2 linked regions of the Oryctolagus cuniculus genome follow. The protein of the gene in region 1 binds, or shares a complex with, the protein of each later gene. Links are inferred from orthologs where the notes say so. Each region holds a gene or a part of one and is shown on either strand. Other genes may lie near its edges.

Evidence for each region.
Region 2: the proteins of AMHR2 (region 1) and AMH are in contact, whole or in part, in a crystal structure (PDB 7L0J), measured with the Homo sapiens proteins. The link is inferred for Oryctolagus cuniculus from reciprocal best matches to the Homo sapiens genes AMHR2 and AMH. Residues at the interface, in NP_065434.1 of Homo sapiens: Gly31, Val32, Arg33, Gly34, Ser35, Thr36, Thr38, Leu39, Phe62, Ile64, Glu75, Met76, Arg80, Asp81, Ser82, Glu84, Pro85, Ser95, Arg97, Ala98, Pro100, Ser101, Leu106, Thr108; in NP_000470.3 of Homo sapiens: Leu471, Arg472, Glu474, Val477, Leu478, Ile479, Pro480, Glu481, Thr482, Tyr483, Gln484, Lys534, Leu535, Ile537, Leu539, Glu542, Arg543, Ile544, Ser545, Ala546.

What each region holds. Positions count from the first base shown.
Region 1 is NC_091442.1:56,419,122-56,428,413, reverse strand, and holds AMHR2 (anti-Muellerian hormone type-2 receptor), read right to left. Parts: upstream 8,220-9,292; 5' UTR 7,669-8,219; coding exon 7,620-7,668; intron 7,320-7,619; coding exon 7,137-7,319; intron 6,940-7,136; coding exon 6,748-6,939; intron 6,476-6,747; coding exon 6,395-6,475; intron 6,236-6,394; coding exon 6,123-6,235; intron 6,003-6,122; coding exon 5,772-6,002; intron 2,917-5,771; coding exon 2,802-2,916; intron 2,676-2,801; coding exon 2,503-2,675; intron 2,324-2,502; coding exon of another isoform or gene 2,267-2,323; coding exon 2,176-2,266; intron 2,012-2,175; coding exon 1,875-2,011; intron 1,089-1,874; coding exon 798-1,088; 3' UTR 155-797; downstream 1-154. UniProt on the Homo sapiens protein: On ligand binding, forms a receptor complex consisting of two type II and two type I transmembrane serine/threonine kinases.
Region 2 is NC_091447.1:59,111,578-59,122,008, reverse strand, and holds AMH (muellerian-inhibiting factor), read right to left. Parts: upstream 6,240-10,431; 5' UTR 6,106-6,239; coding exon 5,217-6,105; intron 5,143-5,216; coding exon 4,986-5,142; intron 4,896-4,985; coding exon 4,034-4,895; 3' UTR 3,970-4,033; downstream 1-3,969. Other genes in the region: JSRP1 (junctional sarcoplasmic reticulum protein 1), read left to right, coding at 1,806-1,917, 2,196-2,233, 2,358-2,475, 2,582-2,746, 3,246-3,337, 3,430-3,825; SF3A2 (splicing factor 3A subunit 2), read right to left, coding at 6,581-7,360, 7,429-7,497, 7,616-7,756, 7,867-7,916, 8,183-8,292, 8,478-8,524, 8,915-8,986, 9,094-9,219. UniProt on the Homo sapiens protein: Plays an important role in several reproductive functions. Induces Muellerian duct regression during male fetal sexual differentiation. Also plays a role in Leydig cell differentiation and function.

The DNA of each region.
Region 1 (9,292 bases):
CTTTATTTCCTTCCTGTGCGCATCTGCCCACGGTCAGGGTCAGTGGACTGAGTGCCCACCAGAGGGTCAGTGGATTTGTCACGGGGTGGGGGAAGGCCACAGAAGCAAAGGCCACGGTTCTTCACGCAAGAAAGAATTCAGGCATGAGACAGAGTGCAGAGTGATAAGGTTTATTGGGGACAGGGCATCTGTCAAAACGGAGGGGACAGACAGAGAGCGCTCAGGGGAAGAGCAAGGTCACATGGTTGAATGAAGAGAATACACCTGGGCAGGCCAGGCGGGCGGCTAGGCAGAGAGGCAGAGGGCTGAGTGCGTGGTCAGTTTGGACTCCCTAGGTTTTTAAGGGAGTCTGTTTACCCACCTCCCTTTCTCCTCCAGGACAAAGAAGGGGGAGCCCTGGTGGAAGGGTTTGTTGAGTGAAAATTTGCAAATTCCTCCCCAGGTTTGCTGGCAAGGGGACTCTGTGAAGGTTTTATTGCCCTGTGTTATCAGATCAGGTAACCCCTTTGGTCCTGAGGAGAGAGAATTCTCCTGGGAGTTTGCCTTGAGGGAAGGGCTGGGACCACCTGGGAGGTTAGCAGGGTCTGGGCAGGACTCTGAAGTGCAAGATGCTGGGTTTCTGGGGCTTCTGCAATGGGTGCTGGTCTTCAGGCCTGTCTCACACACACACACATAGGCTCAATTTCCAGCTTCCTGCCTAACAGATTGGGGAGTGGGAAAACAGTGGAGAGGCAGAGCAGACAGGTATACCAGTGCCATGTTTACGTTTACAGGTGGATTACACACAAACTGCTTATTTACACGTCAGAACTGGCACAGGCAGCTCCGGGGTTCCTGGAGCAAAGGCCTTGCTGAACACCGAAGTGGCAGGCACCCGGCTGTGGGCTGCCGGGGAGGAGAGCAGGGGCAGGGGCAGGAGCAGGGGGCCAGTCTTCTGGGTGGCCGTGTGGACGGCCCTCTGGGCAGGGCTGGGCCTCCTGAGGATGAACCAGGGCCACCAGGCGCTGCTGGACACACTCGGCCGTCAGCCGCGCTTCCGGGTCTGCGTCCCAGCAGTCTTCCAGCAGCTCCCTGAGCCCGCCGGGGTCCTGGGGGAGCGAGCAGGAGGCAGGCTTGACCCCGGGAGCTTGAGTGGCTCCAAGGCTACAGGCATTTTCAGTGCCGCTGCTGTTTCTCCCTGGAGCCTCCCTCCTCTCCCTCTCGCCGAGACAGCTGCCTGAGAGCCTTCCAGAGGGTCCACTTTTCCTCCAAAAGAGCTAATTTGCATAGATAGCTCAACTTGCTAATAGCAAATCCACCCTCCTTCCCCTCCAGCAACCAGGGTCTTTTACAACCACTGTCTGGCTTCTGTCATCTAACCGGACAGACCAGGTAGCAGAGGGGCAGCCTGTTTAGGATGTTATCTGCAGGCCCTTTGCCCCTAGAACTGGCTTTTACTGCGTCCCCCTCGCAGCAGAAACAGATATACAGGCCAGAGCGAGGAGCAAACTTCACTGAATCCTGGGCTCCCGTGCGCTAGGAGAGTCAGCACCTTGGGGCAGACAGCCAGGGGAGGGGGCACCTTGGGACAGGAACAGAGGCAGGGAGAGCTTCCTGGAGGGGAGGATTGAGGAGCAGGGCTAACTGGTGGCAGTGAGGAGGGAGAGACTGCACAAGGCTGGGCGGGACAATGTCATGGGTCTCTGGTGCATGGAGCAGGCTGTGTTAGGGTAGAAGAGCAAGTTTGCCCAGTTCCAGCTGAATGCGAACTAGGAAGTGGGGCATATGGGAGGAGATAGGAGCAGATGAACTTGGCCCTGACAGGGGCGTCCTTGAAGCTCACGCCCAGCCCCCCCTGCTCCAGATCCCTAGGCCACCCGCCTGTGACCTCTTACTGTGGCAAAGCAGCACCAGGAGGATGGGATGTCAGGGCGCCTCCTCTCCTCTACTGCCAGGGCCCACAGCTCACAGGTGGTGGGGGCGCTGCCCAGTTCTGCTTCATAGGCCAGTTGGAAGGGTGGTGGTCTGCCGTCTGGGGGAAGGTGGCAGGGAGGGGGGTCAGTTTCCCTTCCGTGTAGAAAAGCCAGGGAGAAAAAGGTCATAGCTTTCTGAGAACAAGGTCAGGACGTGGTTGGCCCCTAAAATGGGTCAAAGGGGAACCAGGGGAGGGGTCCAACCCCCCCGCCCCATCCATACCAGGCCTCAAATCCGGGCAGCGGCTCAGGATCTCCCACAGGAGCAGGGCCAAGGAGTAGACGTCGGCTCGCCGGAGGGCAGTGCCCCAGTCCTGTAGGTCCAGAGACTTGTCCAAGAGCTCTGGCGCCATGTACCTCTGTGTGCCGGCCTGAAGAAGGCGGTGTGGAGGGCCAGGAATCACCTCTGCCGGGCCCCTCACTGCTGCACTGAACCTCCCCCGCACCCAGCTCCAGACTCAGCAAACATCCTGCACATTGTAAATCCTGCTGCTCTATCCCAAAGACTCCATCCGGCACCCTGGGCCTCACCCTTACCCAGGGCACTCACCTCCATGATGGCCGCTGGGCCTCGGGGCTGCGGAGGGGCCCAGGCACGGGGCTGAGCGAAACCAGGGAGCACCAAGGCCAGGCCCAGGTCTCCAATGGCACATGACCCATCTTCCCGGATGAGCACATTCTGGCTGCTCAGATCTCGGTGGGCAATACCAGGCTTGTACTGGCCTGTGAGGAAACCCGAGGTTCAAGGTCACAGATCTCTTTCTCTTGTAACCCAGTGGGTCTCCTCCAAGCTAAGGAAGCATCGGAAACCTAACAGTGTGGCTGCTTCCCTGCTCCCAGCTCACCTACCATCCTGCCAGCGCTCCTCATGGAGAAATGCCAGGCCCTGGGCTAAAGACAGAGCCATCCTCAGGGAACTTCCCCAGTCACTGGTGTGCTGGCTCAGGTACTGGCACAGGGAGCCCTGGGGTGGAGGGGGAGGAAGCAGAGGGCAGGATGGGACACACACAGCTCCATCCTAGAGAACAGACATCAGTTCACTCCACCACCACCCCCCCTTGCATCTCCCCAGCAGACACCGGGACACATCCAGACCAAGACACAGGCAGCGGAGGGGGAGTGAGAGTGAGCCTCAGACTAATGTGACAAGCAGCAAGTGTGGGTCAGGTGTTCCGAGCATTCCCTGTGGCTTAGGTGGGTGCTCCTAGGGCCTCCACGTGACGGATGAGATTTACAGAGAGTGAAACTGACTTCTCTGAGGTCTGTTAGTGAGAACGTGGACCTTGAATTCAAGCTGACTCACGCATCGCTCACTGTCCACCACCACCCTACCCTGACTCAGAGGACAAAGACGGAAACAGAGGAGGCTGGATGAGCTGTGCAAGGGCATTGCTCGTGACCCGGCTGGCCTGAGGCAGCCAGAGCCCATGGGAAGGGTGAGAGAAGAGCAAATTGCAATAGCAGGGAGAGAGTTCCTCATTCCACGAACGGCAAACACTTCCTGCGTCCAGCAGTTTGCTCAGACACTGGGATGCCCAGGGTCCGGTGAGAGATAACAGTCCCATAAAGTATAGAGTGTGCAATAAACCCCAGGATAGGAACCCGCACTCAGTGTCAAGGGCATAGAATAAGAATGACTAACACTGCAGGGTGGGGTGGGGGACAGAGAGAGAAGCTTAAACAAACAATGCTTTTTGGGCTGGGCCAGTAGCCATGAGGTCGAAGAGAGGGGGCTTTCCAGAATTTAAGATTCCAGGGGTGGAGGAGCTGATCGAGGGCAGCATGTGGGCACCGAAACTTAAACCGGAAAGGCGGGGCTACAGTGGAAATGTGGGAAGAAACAGGCAGCCCAGACGGAGCGGTAAACAGGAGAGAAGTAGCACAGATAAGAGGGGAGCCCTCTGGTCACCCGGATACCAGGCAAACACTCTCCTTTCCTGGGCCCGGGTGGATCATAACTCCTACTTTATAGCGCATTTGTGGAGGTTAAGTTTGAAAGCACGCCTCGGAGCCAGCAGGTTAAGCTGCCCCCTGCGATGCCAGCATCCCATATCAGAGCGCCAGTTGGAATCCCGGTTGCTCCACTCCGCTCCAGCTCCCTGCCGATGTGCCTGGGAAAACAGCAGATGACCCAGAAGCTCCTGGCTCCTGGCTTTGGCCTGACCACCCAGCCCTAGCCACTGTGGCCATTTAGGGGGTGATTTAGCAGATGGAAGACCTCTTTCTCTCTGTCTCTCCCTCCGTGTCACTCTGCCTTTCAAATAAATAAAATAAATCCTCAAAAAATGTGTTGAAACTTCCTATGCAATGCATAGTGCAAAGTAGATGGGGAAAAGGCATGGACTCCAGGAAGAGCTTCAGACCTTGAGCTGGTCTTCCGCCTTTGCTGCTCTGGATCTCCCCCTCGTATTTTCTCTTACAGGATCATGGCCCTCTCTTTTAGCACTTAGAACACACAACATTCCTCTCTTATTTTTCTTCACTCGATCCATTTCTACCTCTGCTTCCAACTAGAAAATCTGTAAAGGCAGTGACTGTTCTTCTTGGTATCGAGTGCTCGCCCTATAGTTTGTAAGTATTTGTTGTTGAGTGAAGACATGAGCAAATTTGGAGGGCAATGCTTGGAGGCATTTCTGCCTTTTTTTTTTTATTTAAAGATTTGTTTTATTTGTTTGAAAACAGAGTTACAGAGAGAGGTAGAGACAGAGAGAGAGAGAGAGGTCTTCCATTCACTGGTTCACTCCCCAAACGGCCGCAACAGCTGGAGCTTGAGTGGATCTGAAGCCAGGAGCCAGGAGCCTTCCCCGGGTCTCCCACATGGGCGAAGGGGTCCAAAGACTTGCGCCATCCTCCACCGCTTTCCCAGGTGCACCAGCAATGAGCTGGATCGGAAGTGGAGCAGCCGGGACTACAACTGGCATTCATATGGGATGCTGGTGCTGTACTCAGTGCTGGCCACAGCATTATTTATTTTGTATTTATTTGAAAGCCAGAGGAACACACAGAGAGATTTTTCCATCAGCTTGATTCACTTTCCTCCAAATACCCACAACAGCCAGGGTTGGCCCAGGCCGAAGACAGGAGCCAGGAACGCCATCCAGGTCTCCTACATGGGTAACAGGGACCCAAAGTACTTGAGTCATCAGTATCTCCCAGGGTGCACATTCGCAGGAAGCTGGAATCAGAAGTGGAGCTGGACTCAAACCCAGACATTCTGACAAGGGATGCAGGCGTTCCAAGGGCTGCCTTGGAGGTATTTCTTTAACAATGATTTTCTTCTTTAAAGTTGGGAATGTTTTAATTTCTGCCTTGCTGTATCTAATATATGGACTAAAAATATTAACATGTATAATTTGTGTAATAAAAAAGAAAAATCACCTTTAGCGTTTTAGAGAAAATATGAAGCAAAAGATGAAGTGTGGCTAGGGTCTAGCTTCCGTGCAACCCCTAACCCCGTATAAACACACAGGCGGGGCCAGCACTGTGGGCGTAGCCGGAAAAGCCGCTGCCTGCAGTGCCAGCATACTATATGGGCGCCAGTTCTAGTCCCGGCTGCTCCACTTCCCATCCAGCTCTCTGCTATGCCTGAGAAAGCAGTGGAGGATGGCCCAAGTCCATGGGCCCCTGCACCCATGTGGAGACCTGGAAGAAGCTCCTGGCTCCAGATCAGCCCAGCTCCAGCCGTTGCAGCCATTTGGGGAGTGAAGCAGCAGATGGGAAGACCTCTCTCTCTGCCTCTCCTCTCTGTGTGTGTAATTCTGACTTTCAAAAAACTAACCAAAACAAAAAACACATAGGCACACATTCCTTGGTGCTTACCTTGGGGTGCAGTTCCAGTACCAGCAGGGGCCCAGAGGGCAGGGGGCCGGGTCCCCCCTGGCCAGCAGCGATAAATCGGACAACGTGGTTGTGCTGCAGGCCCGGCAGCTCATACAAGGCTCTCTCAGCTCGGAACTGGGCCACGGCCCTCCGGGGGAAGACCTTGATGGCCACCAGCTCCCCTTGCAGCTGCCCAGCCCACACTGCCGCGTGACCTCCTTCCCGGATGACCTGGTGGGGAACCTGTGCTGGGTGTGGACCTCTGAGCTAGAACCAGGGCCAGGCTTCCTCCCCAGCACGACCTCCAGGAGGACCCAGAAGAACCCAGCCCTGCCTCCCTCCCTGGGGCACCTGGGAGAAGCACAGCTGGGGCAGCTCCGGCAGCTCCTCACTGCAGTCCCTGCCTGAGTCTGGCTCTGGCTCTGGCCCACTCTGCACCCTGTAGGCCTTTCGCTGGAGCAGAGCTGGGGCAGAGAAGAGCCGTGGGGTCAAGGGTACACGGGCACAGAGACCGGGAAGGGGCTTTTGTGGGGCGGGAGTTTTGGTGAGAGGTCAGGGGTCGGGGTGAGAGGTGCCTGGAGAGGGATTGGAACTTTGGGGCGGGGGGTGGGGCAGAGCAGTACCCACGACAATACCGCCCAGCAGCAGCAGCAGCAGCAGCAGGACCAGCCCCAGCAGCGCCAGTGCCATCCAGGGGGACTCACCTGCACATGAAGGCAAGAACCAGCCTGCAAGCCCTGCCCCAAACCCTGCGGTTGGCTCTTCTTCCCCTCCTCACCGAGCTTGCTTCTCAACCCACCCCCACCTTGGTCGCCAGCCCCCTTATCTCCCGTCACCAGGGCAACCAACTTCCCAAGGCCAGGAGGAGGAAAGCTTGGGGCAGGGAGGTAGGGTGAGAACTGGCCCTGTTTCTGCCTCTCATGCTAACCTAGGCCCCAACCCCCACGGGGTTCCAGTACCCCTGGGTTGTAGCTACCTGGGGCAGCCTGGGGACCCTGGGGGCCAGGAGTCCCAGGGCCCCCCAGAGGAGGCAGATGGCTGTAGTTGGCATTGCAGAAGTCAGCACCACAGGAGCAGGTGAAGAGAGTGGAGCCAGAGCTGGCGCGGGCTCGGGGGCTCGGGTCACAGCTAAGGGACTCACAGCCTGGCTCGTCACTGTCTCGGCATCCTGACGGGTTGGGATTCGGGGAAGAGGAGAGAGAGAAGGAGTGGGGGAGAGAACACAGCGGGGTCTGGGATAAATCCCTTCTCTATCAAAGGCGTCCCTTCCCACTCACGTGGGCTTTTCTTTCCCTCCACACATTCCATTTCCCCCTTCCTCCTCAGCGCCGCCCGCCCCCACCCTAGCTATCACCTGCCATTCACCTTGCATCTCCACCTGTGCCTGGTCTCGGGTTAGGTTCCAGATCCCAAAGCAGCAGCGGCTGTAGAGGCAGCGGATAACCCTGGGGGGCCCTGGTCCTGCATCTAGCAGCTCCCCCAGTGTCTTTGTGCTTCCCCGCACTCCAGGGGCCTCAAAGAACACACAGGTCCTCCTGTTTGGGGGTGCTGAGGCCCAGGATGGGGAAAGGAGAGGATTCAAAACGGGAGTGAATGCTGGGGCAAAAACAGTAGCCAAAAGGATAGACAAAGCATACATATATAAATATATTTTCATAGCCCAGGGTCACTAGAGTGAAGCCACAGGAGGACATGGGGTCAGCCGAGCCTGGAACCTGAACCCCGCCATCGGGACACATGGGTCTACCCTTCACCCTCACTCATCCAGCCCTGTCGCCCTCTCCTCACGGTGCCCCCTCCCCGCATGGGGTGATGGGAAATACCCTGCCCCTCTCTGTGGGCACTTACCCTGCACAGCCGCAGGAAGCAGTGCCCAAAGCCCCAGAGTGCCCAGCATCCTGCCGCAGGGTGGCAGCCGCTGCAGGAGAGCACCAGCCAGCGCGGCCAGCGCTCCCTTTACATACAGGGCACTGTGGGGCTTCAGGTCCCTCAGTCCCCAACTCCGCCCCCTCCGTCCTATCCCAGTCTCCCGGGAGAAGGCTGCTGTGGGGGAGAGGGTGGGTGGGGGGAGAGCAGAGGAAGAAAGGGAGGAGCGGGAACCAATCTCATATCCTCCTCGCTTCAGCCACCTCCTCTTTCCTCTGCATGGTGGGAGGAAGGGGCCGTGGAGGCCCGGCTGAGAGCCTGGCGATGCCTGACTTCAATCCGCTGCCTTTGGCTGACCCTGAGAGGGTGCTGGGCCCTGTTGGCCACTTCTCAGGCTTAGAAAAACCAAAGCCATGTCAAGACCTTAGAACCATGCATTCAGGGGTAACATCTGAAGGTCTCTGGGCAGAGAGCAGCTTCACAGCCCAGAGTTCTAGTCTTCCAAACTCAGGAATTAGAAAGGATATAAAATTCCCCAGAGTTAAAAATCACATCATTATTGAAAGGTTAACTTTTTCTTTTCTTTCTTTTTTTTTTTTTTACTGGGCACACACCATGTGCTAGGGTGCAGCTACGTCTATTCCTTGATAATCATCTCACTTCTCCTGCACAGGTAGTTAGGAAAAGTGAGTTTAGGTAGGCTGTCCAAGGTCAAGTCGGATCTGAACCTAGGTAAATCTGACTCTGAAGTCCAGGCTTTGTTCTTTGTAATACACCATGCTTCCTGAAAAAAACATGTAAAATTCAGCAGTAAAAGAGATATTTTCACTTAATATTTGGATCGTTGAGAAAATATGCACCATTACCTGCCTGCGGGCCACTAACTAGAAAGGGAGGGTACAGTTCACCCCGTCACCACCAGAGGTCAGCAGACATGGGAGAAACTCCAGGCTGCGCTGGGGGCAGATGGATGCCCACAATACACCTCCCGGGAGGAATCAGATGCAGTGACCAGAACATGTGAAGGGAGGACACGGGGTGTGAAGAGAGGACACATGGTGTGCACGGAGAAGGCCTGTGGCTTCGGCTGCAACGGACACAGGAGTCTAGCCCCAGCAGACTCTTGCCCAAAGTGAGAAACTAGTGAACCGGAAATTATTTCCACACCTGTGAGCAGCTGGCTCCCAAGCGAATGGGGGTGGGGGAAAAGCAGTATTTCCCCAGCTTTCTGTCCCCCTGGTGGCGGCCCAGAACCCCTTCCTCAGAGTGACCTCGCTGAGGCCAGCGATGAGAATAGACGCTTTCAATTCAAGGGCCTTTCTCCTCCTGGGTTGCTGCTTGCAAAGAGGAGAACAAATGCTCCAATGGGTGTAAAACTGCCACTGCAGGGATGGCCAGGGCTGGAGGGGGCTGCCCGCCCTTCCCCGCGCCCTTCCAGGGGCCTATGGGGCCCTGCTGGTGAGGAGGAATGTCCAGCCGTCTGTGGGCTCCCAGATCAGATCAGTCTGGGAAGGAGGGTGGTAACCGGTGGGTGGAGTTGAAGGTCAAATAGCTTCTTTGTCTGGAGTGTCTCAGACAACTCCTTCAGGGAGGGAGCAGGCCAAGAAAGGCAGCTTCTACGCTGAAAACCCTCTTCAAAGGCAGAAAAACCATGC
Region 2 (10,431 bases), on another chromosome or scaffold:
GTCCCTTGTCCGACCCCGTTGGGAGACCCGGACGGAGCTCCTGGGTTTGGCCCTGCCCAGCCCTGGCCACTGTGGCCATTTGGGGAGTGAACCAGCGGATGGAAGGCCTCTCCCTCTCTCTCCCCCTCCCTCCCTCCCTCTGTCCCTCTCTCTTTCCCTCCCCCTCCCTCCCTCTCTCTCCCCCCTCCCTCTCTCCTTCTCCCTCTCTCTCTCTCCCCCTCCCTACCTCTCTCCCTCCCTCCCTCTCTCTCCCCCTCCCTCTCTCCTTCTCCCTCTCTCTCTCTCCCTCCCTCTACCTCTCTCCCTCTCTCTCCCTCCCTACGTCTCACTCTCTCCCCCTCCCTCTCTCCCCTCCCTCCTTCCCTCTCTCCCTCTCTCCCCCTCCCTCCCTCCTCCTCTCTCCCCCTCCCTCCTTCCCTCTCTCTCTCTCCCTCCCTCTCCCTCTCTCCCTCCCTTCCTTCTCCCTCCCTCTCTCCCCCTCTCCCTCACCCTCCCTCCTTCCCTCTCTCCCTCCCTCTCTCTCCCCTCTCTCTCCCCCCTCTCTCCCCCCCCTCCTCCCTCCCTCCCTCCCTCTCTCTCCCTCCCCCTCCCTCCCTCCCTCCCTCCCTCTCTCCCCTCCCTCCCTCTCTGCCTTTCAGATCTTAACCCAAGCACAGGTGAGAGGCTGGTGCGGTGTGGTTGGCGTGGCTCTGTGAGGTCCCGCCCCTGTGGCTGAGCCGGCGGCAGGGGCACCCAGTGGTCTGCGCTCCACCTCCAGTGAGCAGGAGGCACAGCCCGGGCTCCACAGGCGTGGGGAAGGCGGCCCCCCCTCCAGGGAGCTCTCCAGGAGTCTGCCCCCAGCTGCAGCTGCCCCAGAGGGCGGCCAGGGGACAGTGGACCCCAGCCCCCTCCATCACTCGGGGCTCAACCCAGGTCCCTGCTGCCTGCTGGGGTGGGCCTGGGGGGCCCCTCCTCAGCGGGGACACCCTCTGCAGCTTCCTCCTGCCAGCCCCTCCCCCACACTCGGCTCGGGCCCTCTCTGATTGGTCCACTCAGCTGTCCCCGACACCTGTCGCTGTCAGTCCCAGGGCCACCCTTCCTGGTCTGCCCAGAGCACCAGGCCCGCGCAGCGGCTGTGGGGTAAGAGGGGCTGGGGGCGGCCCAGGGGCTCTCGGGGTCTGGGGCGGGAGCTGCAGGAGACGCTGCAGGGCTCTGGGCCTCCCCCCCCTCAGGCTGCAGCCCCCTCCCCACTCAGAGCCCCAGCCGGGCGGTCGTCCCCCGGGGGGTGGGGACCCCCCTGGGGAAACAGAGCGTTGGGTCCAGTCAGTTGGCCTCCGCCGGCCGCTGCGGCTCCGCCTGTCTCCCCATCCGGCATCTGGGAACAGAGGTGGAGGGGGGGCACGGCCCTGGGGGGGACCCAGGCCTCGGGGGGGGGGGGGCTTGACCTGCCGCGGCCCGAGTCAGGCAGGTTCGGAGCCCCTGGGATCCCCGGGTCAGACGGGCGGGGATCCGGCGCCCAGAGCGCGGCTGGAGGGTTGGAGGGAGACCCCGGGGAGCAGAGGCCTGGGCGGGGCTGGGTCACCCTCCGGCCTGGCCTGCTGGCCGTGGGCACCGTCTAAAAATAGCCCTGGTCTCAGAGAACAGGAGCTGACCGGGGCTGGTCTCCGACTCGCTGCTGTGTGGCTTCGGGGGTCTCTGGTAGAGGGGAGGCGTGGGGGCCGACGGGGAGGGACCGAGATCAACCCCACGAGACGCAGGGCTGGGTTGGTTCGCAGGAATTCCCCGTGGCCCACTCTGCCCGGCGGCCCTGCCCCGCCGCTGTCCCCATGACAACCCTGGAGGAGCCGGACGGAGGCCTGGGCAGCTGCCCGGCCGGCGAGGACCTCTCTGTCCTGGCTGAGCCCTGCCCAGGGCGGCCCCCGGAAGACAAGGCTGCAGGTGCGTGGCCGGCGGCGTGGAGCCAACCCCGCGGCAAACCCTGAGGCCTGGCTCTGCCCGGGGGGGGGGGGGCTCACGTTGCGGCCCCAACCCCTGCCCCCTGCCCTGCCTGGGGGTCTAAGGAGCCCCCGGAAAAGCGGGGGTGCTAGGTCAGCAGAGGGGGTGAGCTCCCGGGAGCCACGGAGTGCGGTCCTCTGTGGCCGGGTCTCTGCAGCAGGGCCGGGGGGGTCTGGCGGTGCCCCCTCCCACCCTGATCTGCCCCCTTGCTCCGGCCACAGGGTCTCCCGGGCTGGCCCACTCCGGCAGCTGGTCCCCGGTGAGTAGCTGGGGTCCTGGGAGTGTGGGACGCCCAGGGGCTGGGTTTCTCTGGGGTCAGCTCCCTCCGCGCGCTCCTGGGCACGCACGGGCCGAGGAAGCACCAGCACGGGCGATTCCCGCAGGACTCTCGGGAGCCGGGGGCAGGGAGCGGCGTGGACGCCAGACCCAAGAAGACGGACAAGGAGCCCGCGGCCAGGGGCGCCCCAGGACCCGGGCGGGACAGACCGAGAGCTGGCACCAGTGGGTTTGCAGCAGGCATGCGGGGGGCGGGGAGAGGGCAGGGCCGAGCGGGGGGGAGGGGTTCTGTGCGTGGAGATCAGAGCGCGCCCCCCACTTGCCCCTGCAGCCTCCCGCAGCGCCCCCGCGCGCAGGAAGCCGCAGGCCGCACCGCCACCGCCGCCTCCGCCGGCGCCCAGCGAGGAGCTGCCCTGGGGGGCCGCGTCGCTCAACACGTGCCTGGTGCTAGCCGCTCTGCTGGCGCTCCTGGGCTCGGCGCTGCAGCTGTGCCGCGGTGAGCGCGCGCGCCCGCCCCCCACGCCCAGCTCCTGGCCTACGTCCCCCCCAACCCCCGCCTCCGGCCTGGAGCAGCGCCCCCCCACACGCCCAGCTCCTGGCCTACGTCCCCCCCAACCCCCGGCCCCGGCCTGGAGCAGCGCGCGCCCGCCACCCACCCCAGCTCCTGGCCTACGTCCCCCCCAACCCCCGCCCCCGGCCTGGAGCAGCGCCCCCCCCACACGCCCAGCTCCTGGCCTACGTCCCCCCCAACCCCCGCCCCCGGCCTGGAGCAGCGCGCGCCCGCCCCCTTCCTCCAGACCGGAGCCCAGGACCTACGTGGCCGTGGGCTTCGGGGGCCCCCACTCCGGCCCTGGGGTGCTCCTGCTCCCCAAAACAGGAAGCAGGAAGACCCTGGGAGTCAGGCCCCCTACGTCTGTCCTGGGCTGGGGGGCCGAGAAGGGGTCGCCGGCGTGTCCCCGCCCTGGCTGACTCGCTTTCCCGCCGGGGTCCCCCAGATGCTGTCCTTGGGGAGGCCACAGCCCCAGCGCCCGTCCCCGAGCCGTGGGTCCCACCGAGCCTGCCCAGGAAGGAACCGGTGGCGCCCCTGGTGAGCATCCTCCGTTGAGTGATCGCGGGAGGACGGGCCGGGACCCGGGAGGTGGGCGCTGACCTCAGGACCCCCAAATGTCCCCGTGGCAGCCGCAGCCCCCCGTCCTGGCCCCCGCCACTGCACGGCCTGAGCCCCCGGCGGAGGCGGAGGACAGAGGGAGCCTGGGGGCTGCAGACGAGGCGGAGGCAGAGCCCGGAGGAGACCCCGCAGAGGCCGCCGAGAAGCACGCGCCCCGCGTGGACCGCGGGCCCAAGGACAAGCCGCGGAGGACCAGGCCGCGGAGGACGCGGCCGCAGTCCGAGGAGCCCCGGGAAGCCCTTCCCCGGCGCTGGGAGACGCGCGAAGGGGGCCGTGGGCCGTGGGCGCGGGACTCCAGGGACCCCGGGCGCAGCAAGAGGCAGGCCCGGGCTTCGCCGCGGCGCCACGACCGCGAGGACCGGCTCCCGGGCCGCCAGAAGCCGCGCGCGGGCAAGGGGCGGGACTGAGCGCGCGCCCCAGCACGCCGTGCCCACTCCTGCAAAATAAAACCAGTGCCGCGGCCGCCGCCTCCTTAGCACCTGCAGCCTGGGGGCCCCCGGGGACAGGCGGGGGGACCCCCACGGGCTCCCAGACACACACGGAGACCCCAGCCGGTGCTCGCTCGCTTGTCTTTATTGGGTGCGAATAAATAGGTGAGGGGCGCTGGCGCGGGGGTCACCGGCAGCCGCACTCGGTGGCCACCATGTTGGGCACGTGGTGCGCGCTGATGCGCTCCTCCGACAGGCTGATGAGCAGCTTGCCCGCGTAGGCGGTGGGCACGCAGCAGGGCGCGCGCGCCAGGGCGGCGCCGCGCGCCTGCATCTTCAACAGCAGCACCACGTGGTTGCCGTAGCGCGGGTTGCGGTCGGACTGCGGCCAGGCGCACGCGCCCTGGCAGTCGTTGGCCTGGTAGGTCTCGGGGATGAGCACGGAGCGCTCGGCCCGCAGGTCCACGCTGAGCTCACGCAGCGCGCACGGCCCGGCGGCGGCGGCGGCGGCCCCCGCGCTGCGCTGCGCCCGCGCCGCCCCACGCGCGTCCTGCCCGCGCCACTCGCTGCGCAGGCCCTGCAGGGCCTTCAGCAGCAGCAGGGCGCGCAGGGCGCCGCCCGGGGCCCGGGGGTCGCCGGGGCACAGCTCGAGCAGGCGCGCCAGCAGCGGGGCGGCGGCGGGCGGCAGGCCCGGGAGGCCGCGGAGCTCGGCGGCCGCCGCCTGCAGCTCCGCGGCCACGCGGCGCGCCAGGCCCTCGGCCCACGGCGCGGACGCGGGGTCCTGCGGCTGGGCGGGGTCCCCGGCGGTGGGCGCGGAGGGCGGGAGCAGCAGTAGCAGGGGCTCCTCGCCGTCCAGCAGGCGCTCCAGTGCCGCGGGGTCCGACAGGTTGACCGGGCCCTGCGGGAAGCCGGCCAGCGCTCCGGGGTCCAGGGACAGGCGCGGCGGGGAGGCGCGCGCCGGGGTGCCCCGCAGCACCCGCACCAGGCGCGTGAGCGTCTCCAGGAAGGGGTCGGCGCTGGGCGGCGGCTCCTCCGGCGCCGGGGACGGCCTGGAACGCAGAGGCAGAGAGCGGAATTGGGGGCAGTGGCGGCGCGGCGCCACGCCCACCTCCCTGTCCCCGGCTCGGGCCTGCGCGCACCGGGGCGGCGGGAAGGGCACCGTGTCCAGCTGGCCGTGCGCAGGCAGTGGCGCGGGGGACTGCGGCAGCAGCAGCAGGGCCGGGGTCTTCCGCGTGAAGCTGCGGGGGTCTGCGCCGAACAGCAGCGCCTGCAGCTGGGCGGTGCTCAGGGGGGGCCCTGCGCGGAGACGCCGGCGGCTCAGGGCCCGGAGCCGCGCCGGCCGCCCCGCCCCCGCCCCCGCCCCCGCCTACCGTCTCCGCGGGGCCGCAGGGTCAGCGAGAGCCCAGAGCCGCGCCACGCCTCCGCCGGCTGGGCCACCACCAGCGCCGAGTAGCGGGTGTCCGCCGTCGGGCAGAGGCTCTGCGGGGGCGGGGCACGGCAGGCTGGGGCGGGGCACCTGCCGCGGCACCCCCCCGCCCCCCGCCCATGCCCTGGGCGCCAGCCGCGGACGCTCAGGCCTTCGGAAGACCCCCGCCCCCTCCCCTGGGGCCCGGGACCGCCGCATGCAACCCGCTGGTCACCTGGGCCCCCGGCAGCCCGGGCCCGCTGGCGGTGACGGCGGGGCCGGGCGCGGGGTACAGCACCAGCAGCGCCAGCTCCAGCGGGTGGGCGCCTCCGGGCGGGGGCCTCTGGAACCTCAAGGAGGGCGTGGGCTCCCAGGTCACTGCACAGGGCAGGCGGCGCTGAGCGCGTCGGCCAGGCCCGCCCCGCGCACCCTCCTCCAGACGGCGGGGGCGGGCACCTACCTTCCTCCAGGTGCAGGACCCACAGCCGCGGCGCCCCCGGCTCCCCCGGCTCCCCCAGCCGGGCCGCCAGCCGCCGCAGCGCCGGCAGGGCCGCCTGCGCGGGGCTGGGGCTGCAGACCCCGAAGGTGTCGAGGTCGCGGGGGCCCCAGCGAGCCCCCCGCACGGCCTCCAGGAAGGCGGTCTCGTGGCCGCTCGGGGCCCCCACCACCCGCAGGGCCGCCCCGCCCAGGGTCACCAGGCACAGGGGCTCCCGCGGGCCGCCCGCTGGCCAGCCCCAGTCCTGGCCGAAGAGCAGCTGGCCCGCGCTGCCGGCCGCCCCCGCCCCCGCCCCGGGGGTCTCGGGGGCCAGCAGCCGCAGCAGCAGCAGCAGCAGGGCGAGAGGCAGACCCGGCATGGCGGTGCTGCAGGGCGCGGAGGCCGGCTTTTATGGGCCAGGGAGGAATGTCTGGGCAGCGTGGGGGCGTCTCCCCGGTGGCCTTGGGGACACGCACGCCCCGGTGGGCAGGAGACGCCCGCTCAGGGCTGCCTCTGTCCCTATCGCAGGGCCGTGTCCTTGAGAGGCCTCCGTCTGGACCCCGCGGCCAGACCCAGACACAGGCGGGAACCCCTCTGCACACGGGCGGGCAGCCCGGCCAGACGGGCTCCCTGAGCCTCCCCCAGCGGCCACTCAGGCCCCAGCCCCGCCCTCCCCCGAGTCCCCCAGACACAATGGTCCACTCAAGCCCCAGCCCCCCCCAGCGGCCACTCAGGCTCCAGCCCACCCCCGCACCCCTCCCCAGACACAGCGTCCACTCAGGCCCTAGAAAACGTTTAATAAACCAAGGTGGGGAGGGGGGCACAGAGGACCAGGCTCGGGGGCGGGGGGCCTCTCAGTTGGCGGGGGGAGGGGGAGGGATGTTCCCGGGGCCTTCGGAGGGGAGCGGGGGCCTCAGCATTGGGGGCATGGGGGCAGCAGGGTGCACCCCGGGGTTGGAGGGGTGGACGCCAGGCGGCTGGGGGTGGACCCCAGCAGCCGCAGGATGGACGCCAGGGGGCTGGGGGTGGACCCCCGGGGCCTGGGGGTGGATCCCGGGGGCCGCTGGGTGGACCCCTGGGGCCTGGGGGTGGACAGCGGGTGCCGGCGGGTGCACCCCCGGGGCCTGAGGATGAACTCCAGCCGCTGGGGGAGGGTGGACCCCCGGCGCTGGGGGGTGGACCCCGGGGGCTGGGGGGTGGACCCCTGGCGCTGGAGGGTGGACCCCCGGGGCTGGGGGGTGGACCCCCGGAGCAGGGGGGTGCACCCCAGAAGCCGGGGGGTGCACCACAGGAGCCGGGGGGTGCACCACGGGAGCCGGGGGGTGGACCCCGGGGGCTGGCGGGTGGACCCCAGACGTGGGGGGGTGGACCACCGGGGCGGGGGGGTGCACTCCTGGGGCTGGAGGGGGCAGCTGGGGAGGCCCGGGGGGCCCCGAGGGTGCGGGCCCCGTGGGGGGCATGGGCGGCAGGGGCAGGCCGCCGGGTGGGGGTGGGGGCAGAGACTCCGGCAGGGGTGGCCGCGGGGGCAGACCGTTCATCAGCGGGGGCGGGGGCCGCTTCACCCCCGGGGGCCCGGCAGGCAGGCTGGGCGGGGCCGGGGGCTTCTCCATCTTGAAGTGGAACTGCAGGAAGAACTGTGGGGGGGTGGGCTCAGCGGGGCTGCCCCGGGTGGGGGAGGGGGCCGGGTGGGGGCGGGGCTCACCTGCTTGGTCTCCCTGTTCCAGTGGGTCCAGAACTTGCCCTCGGCCTTGTCGATCTCCCTGCTGGGCACCTGGGGGGGGGGGGCGGCCGTGGGTCCTGGGGTGGGGAGGGGGCGCGGGGCTGGTGCCGAGACCCAGGGCGGGGCGGGGAGGGGGCGCCGTGGGTCCGAGGGAGGCGGGGGGCCCTACCTTGAAGGCGATGGTCTCGTAGGGCTCGGCGGCCATCAGCAGGTACTGCCAGCGCCGGTCCGGGGGCTCGATCCTCTGCTCGTAGGCCGACATGAAGCGGTGCCGGGGGGTGATGCCCTCGGCGATCTCGGGGTAGTCGATCTGCGGGCGGGCAGTGTCAGGGGCCCCCAGCCCCCACTGCCCCCCGCCCCCGCAGCCCCCACCCGGCCCCGCCCCCGCGGCCCCCCCCCCGACCCCGCGGCCCCGCCCACCTGGAAGAGCAGGCTCTGCTGGCCCATCTCCGTGTCCCGCTGCTTGGTCACTGCAACACCAGGGCCGGTGAGGGGCCCCCCCGCAGCCCCACGTCCCGCCCAGGGCGGCAGGTGAGGCCCAGGTCCCAGCTCAGAGGGCCGGCCCAGGGCTGCACGCCACAGCCCCGCCTGCCCCTCCGTGCCCAGGACCCCGCCTGCCCACAGCCCCACGGCCTCGCCTGTCCCCGCCTGCCCCTCCCTGCCCAGGGCCTCGCCTGTCCCCGCCTGCCCCCCCCCCCCCGCCCAGGGCTGGTGTCGGGCGGCCCCGCCCCCTCACCTTTGTAGCCAGGGCGTCCGATCTTCACGAACTTCTTCACCTCCACCTTGACCTTCTCGGGCGCGGGCTGGGCGGGCGCCTCCTTGGCCTCCTTGGCTGCGCGCCGGGCCCTGGGGCGGGGCAGACGGGCGCTGTGGTCCTCCACACCAGGCCAAGGCCACGGGCGCAGGTGCAGGAGCCCCCCTGCCCGGCCTTGGGCTCCCGCGGGGGGGGTGAGGGGCGGGGCCCTGCGGCTGGGGGGCGGGTCAAGGGGCCCTCCCCCGTGTCACAGCCGGGGGGCGCGGGGGGCACTCACAAGTTGGTCTGATGCTTCTTCCCTTGAGTGTGTGCGAGGTAGCTGCCCTGCGTGGAGGAGGCGGGACATGAGGCCGGGGGCGGGGCCAGGCCGGTGGGCGGGGTAGCGGCAGGCGGGGTGGGGGAGGACCAGGCCGAACAGTGGACAGGGCGGGAGGGGGGGACCAAGCCGGCCGGGGGGTGGGGCAGCGGCAGGCGGGGGTCAGGCCGGGGGCGGGGGGATCAGGCCGGCTGGGGGCGGGGCCAGGCCGGTGGCAGGCAGGAGCGGGGGACCAGGCCGGCCAGTGGACAGGGCGGGAAGGGGGGGGATCAGGCCGGCCGGTGGAGGGGGGGGGCCAGGCCGGCCGGTGGGCGGGGCGGGGGCGAGGGGTTCAGGCCGGCCGGTGGGCGGGGCGGGGGCAGGCAGGGGCGGGGGCAGGGTACCAGGCCGGCCAGTACCTCGTTGTTGTGCAGGGTCAGGCACAGCTTGCACTCGTAGGAGCCCAGGTGGTTCTTCATGAAGTAGGGGTCCTGGGGGAGAGCGGCGCGGGGCGTCAGGGGCGTCAGGGGCGTCGGGGGCGTCGGGCGCGTCGGGGGCGTCGGGGGCGCCCCGCGGGGGGGCGGGCGGGCGGCCCTACCTTGTTGATGTCGATGGTCTCCAGGGCCAGCTGCCGCAGGCGCTCGCGGCGGTCCCGGTTGCTCTCGGAGGAGGAGGCCACGCCCCCACTCCCGGTCTTGCCGCCGGGGCGGTGCTGGAAGTCCATGGTGCCGGCCTGCGGACCTCAGCGCCGGAGAAGCCTGCGGAGCCCAGACCGGGGGGGGCCCTCAGGACGCGGCGGGGGCCGGAGACCCCAGGAGGCAGCCCCCAGCCCCTCCCGGGCGCACCCACGCGGGCTCTCCCGTGTCAGCCGCCGGGCCCAGCCGCGGGCGTCGGGGAGAACGGGGGCGCGGACGACCGCCTGGCGCCCCCCCGCCGTCCACTCCCCAATGCCCCTAAGCCAGGGCTGGGCCTCCCCGTGGACGGCAGGGGCCGCTCGGGCCCCATTCGGGCACTGGCCCGAGTCCTGGCTGCCGGCCCGGGCCCCGCACCTGCTCTGACCCGGCCCGGCCCGGCCCGGCCTCCGGGGACTGGACCGGCGGGAGGAGACCCCGCCCCTGCGACCCCGACTTCCGGGCACGGCGCGGGCGGCCCGGCTGACCCCAGGGCGCTACCGGGCCCGCCCGCGGTCCACGCACGAGCCGCCCCCGGCTGACCCCAGGGCGACCCGGGCCCGCCCGCGGTCCACGCACGAGCCCTGGCGGCCCCACAGCCCCTCCATCGGGACGCGAACCCAGGACCTCAGGGCTGGGGGAGGGGGAACCACGCGAAGGGACAGTCGGACAGCGGACCGAGGGGAAGACGCGGCCCCGGGCACGCAGGCTTGCGGGAGGGAAATCTAAGACGCAGCCGCATCGCCGTCCGCACCCGGGACGCCCCGCAGCCCCCCGGGCGCCCGCGACCGACCCCCACGACGACAAAGGCGCCAGCGGGGGCGGCCTCGGGGGTCCCGGCGGCTTTTGGCGGGAACGCCGGCACGCACCCCCGCGCGCGGCCCCGCGGCCCGGGCCCGCCCCGCCGAGCAGCCGAAGGCCCGCGGCCGCTCCCCGGACCCCGGAGCCCGCCCCGGACGGACGCGAGACCCCCGCGACCCCCGCGACGCCCGCCGCGGAGTTCCGGAGGGCCGGGGTCGCCGTGGGGCCCGCCGCCCGCCCCGGCCCCTCCCTCCCGCGCCCCCAGCCCACCCTGGGCGCCCCGGGGCCCCGATGGCCCCCGCGCCTACTTCGTGTGGGTCGCGCCCCGCGTCGCAGGCCTCCGCCGTCCGCCTCAGGAGCCGCCGCCACGACGTCGCAGTGCGCACGCGCGGCGCGGGCGCTCGCAGCACTTCCGGAGGGAGGACGGGCCCTCGAGTGTGCGCATGCGCGTGCCCGAGGCGCGC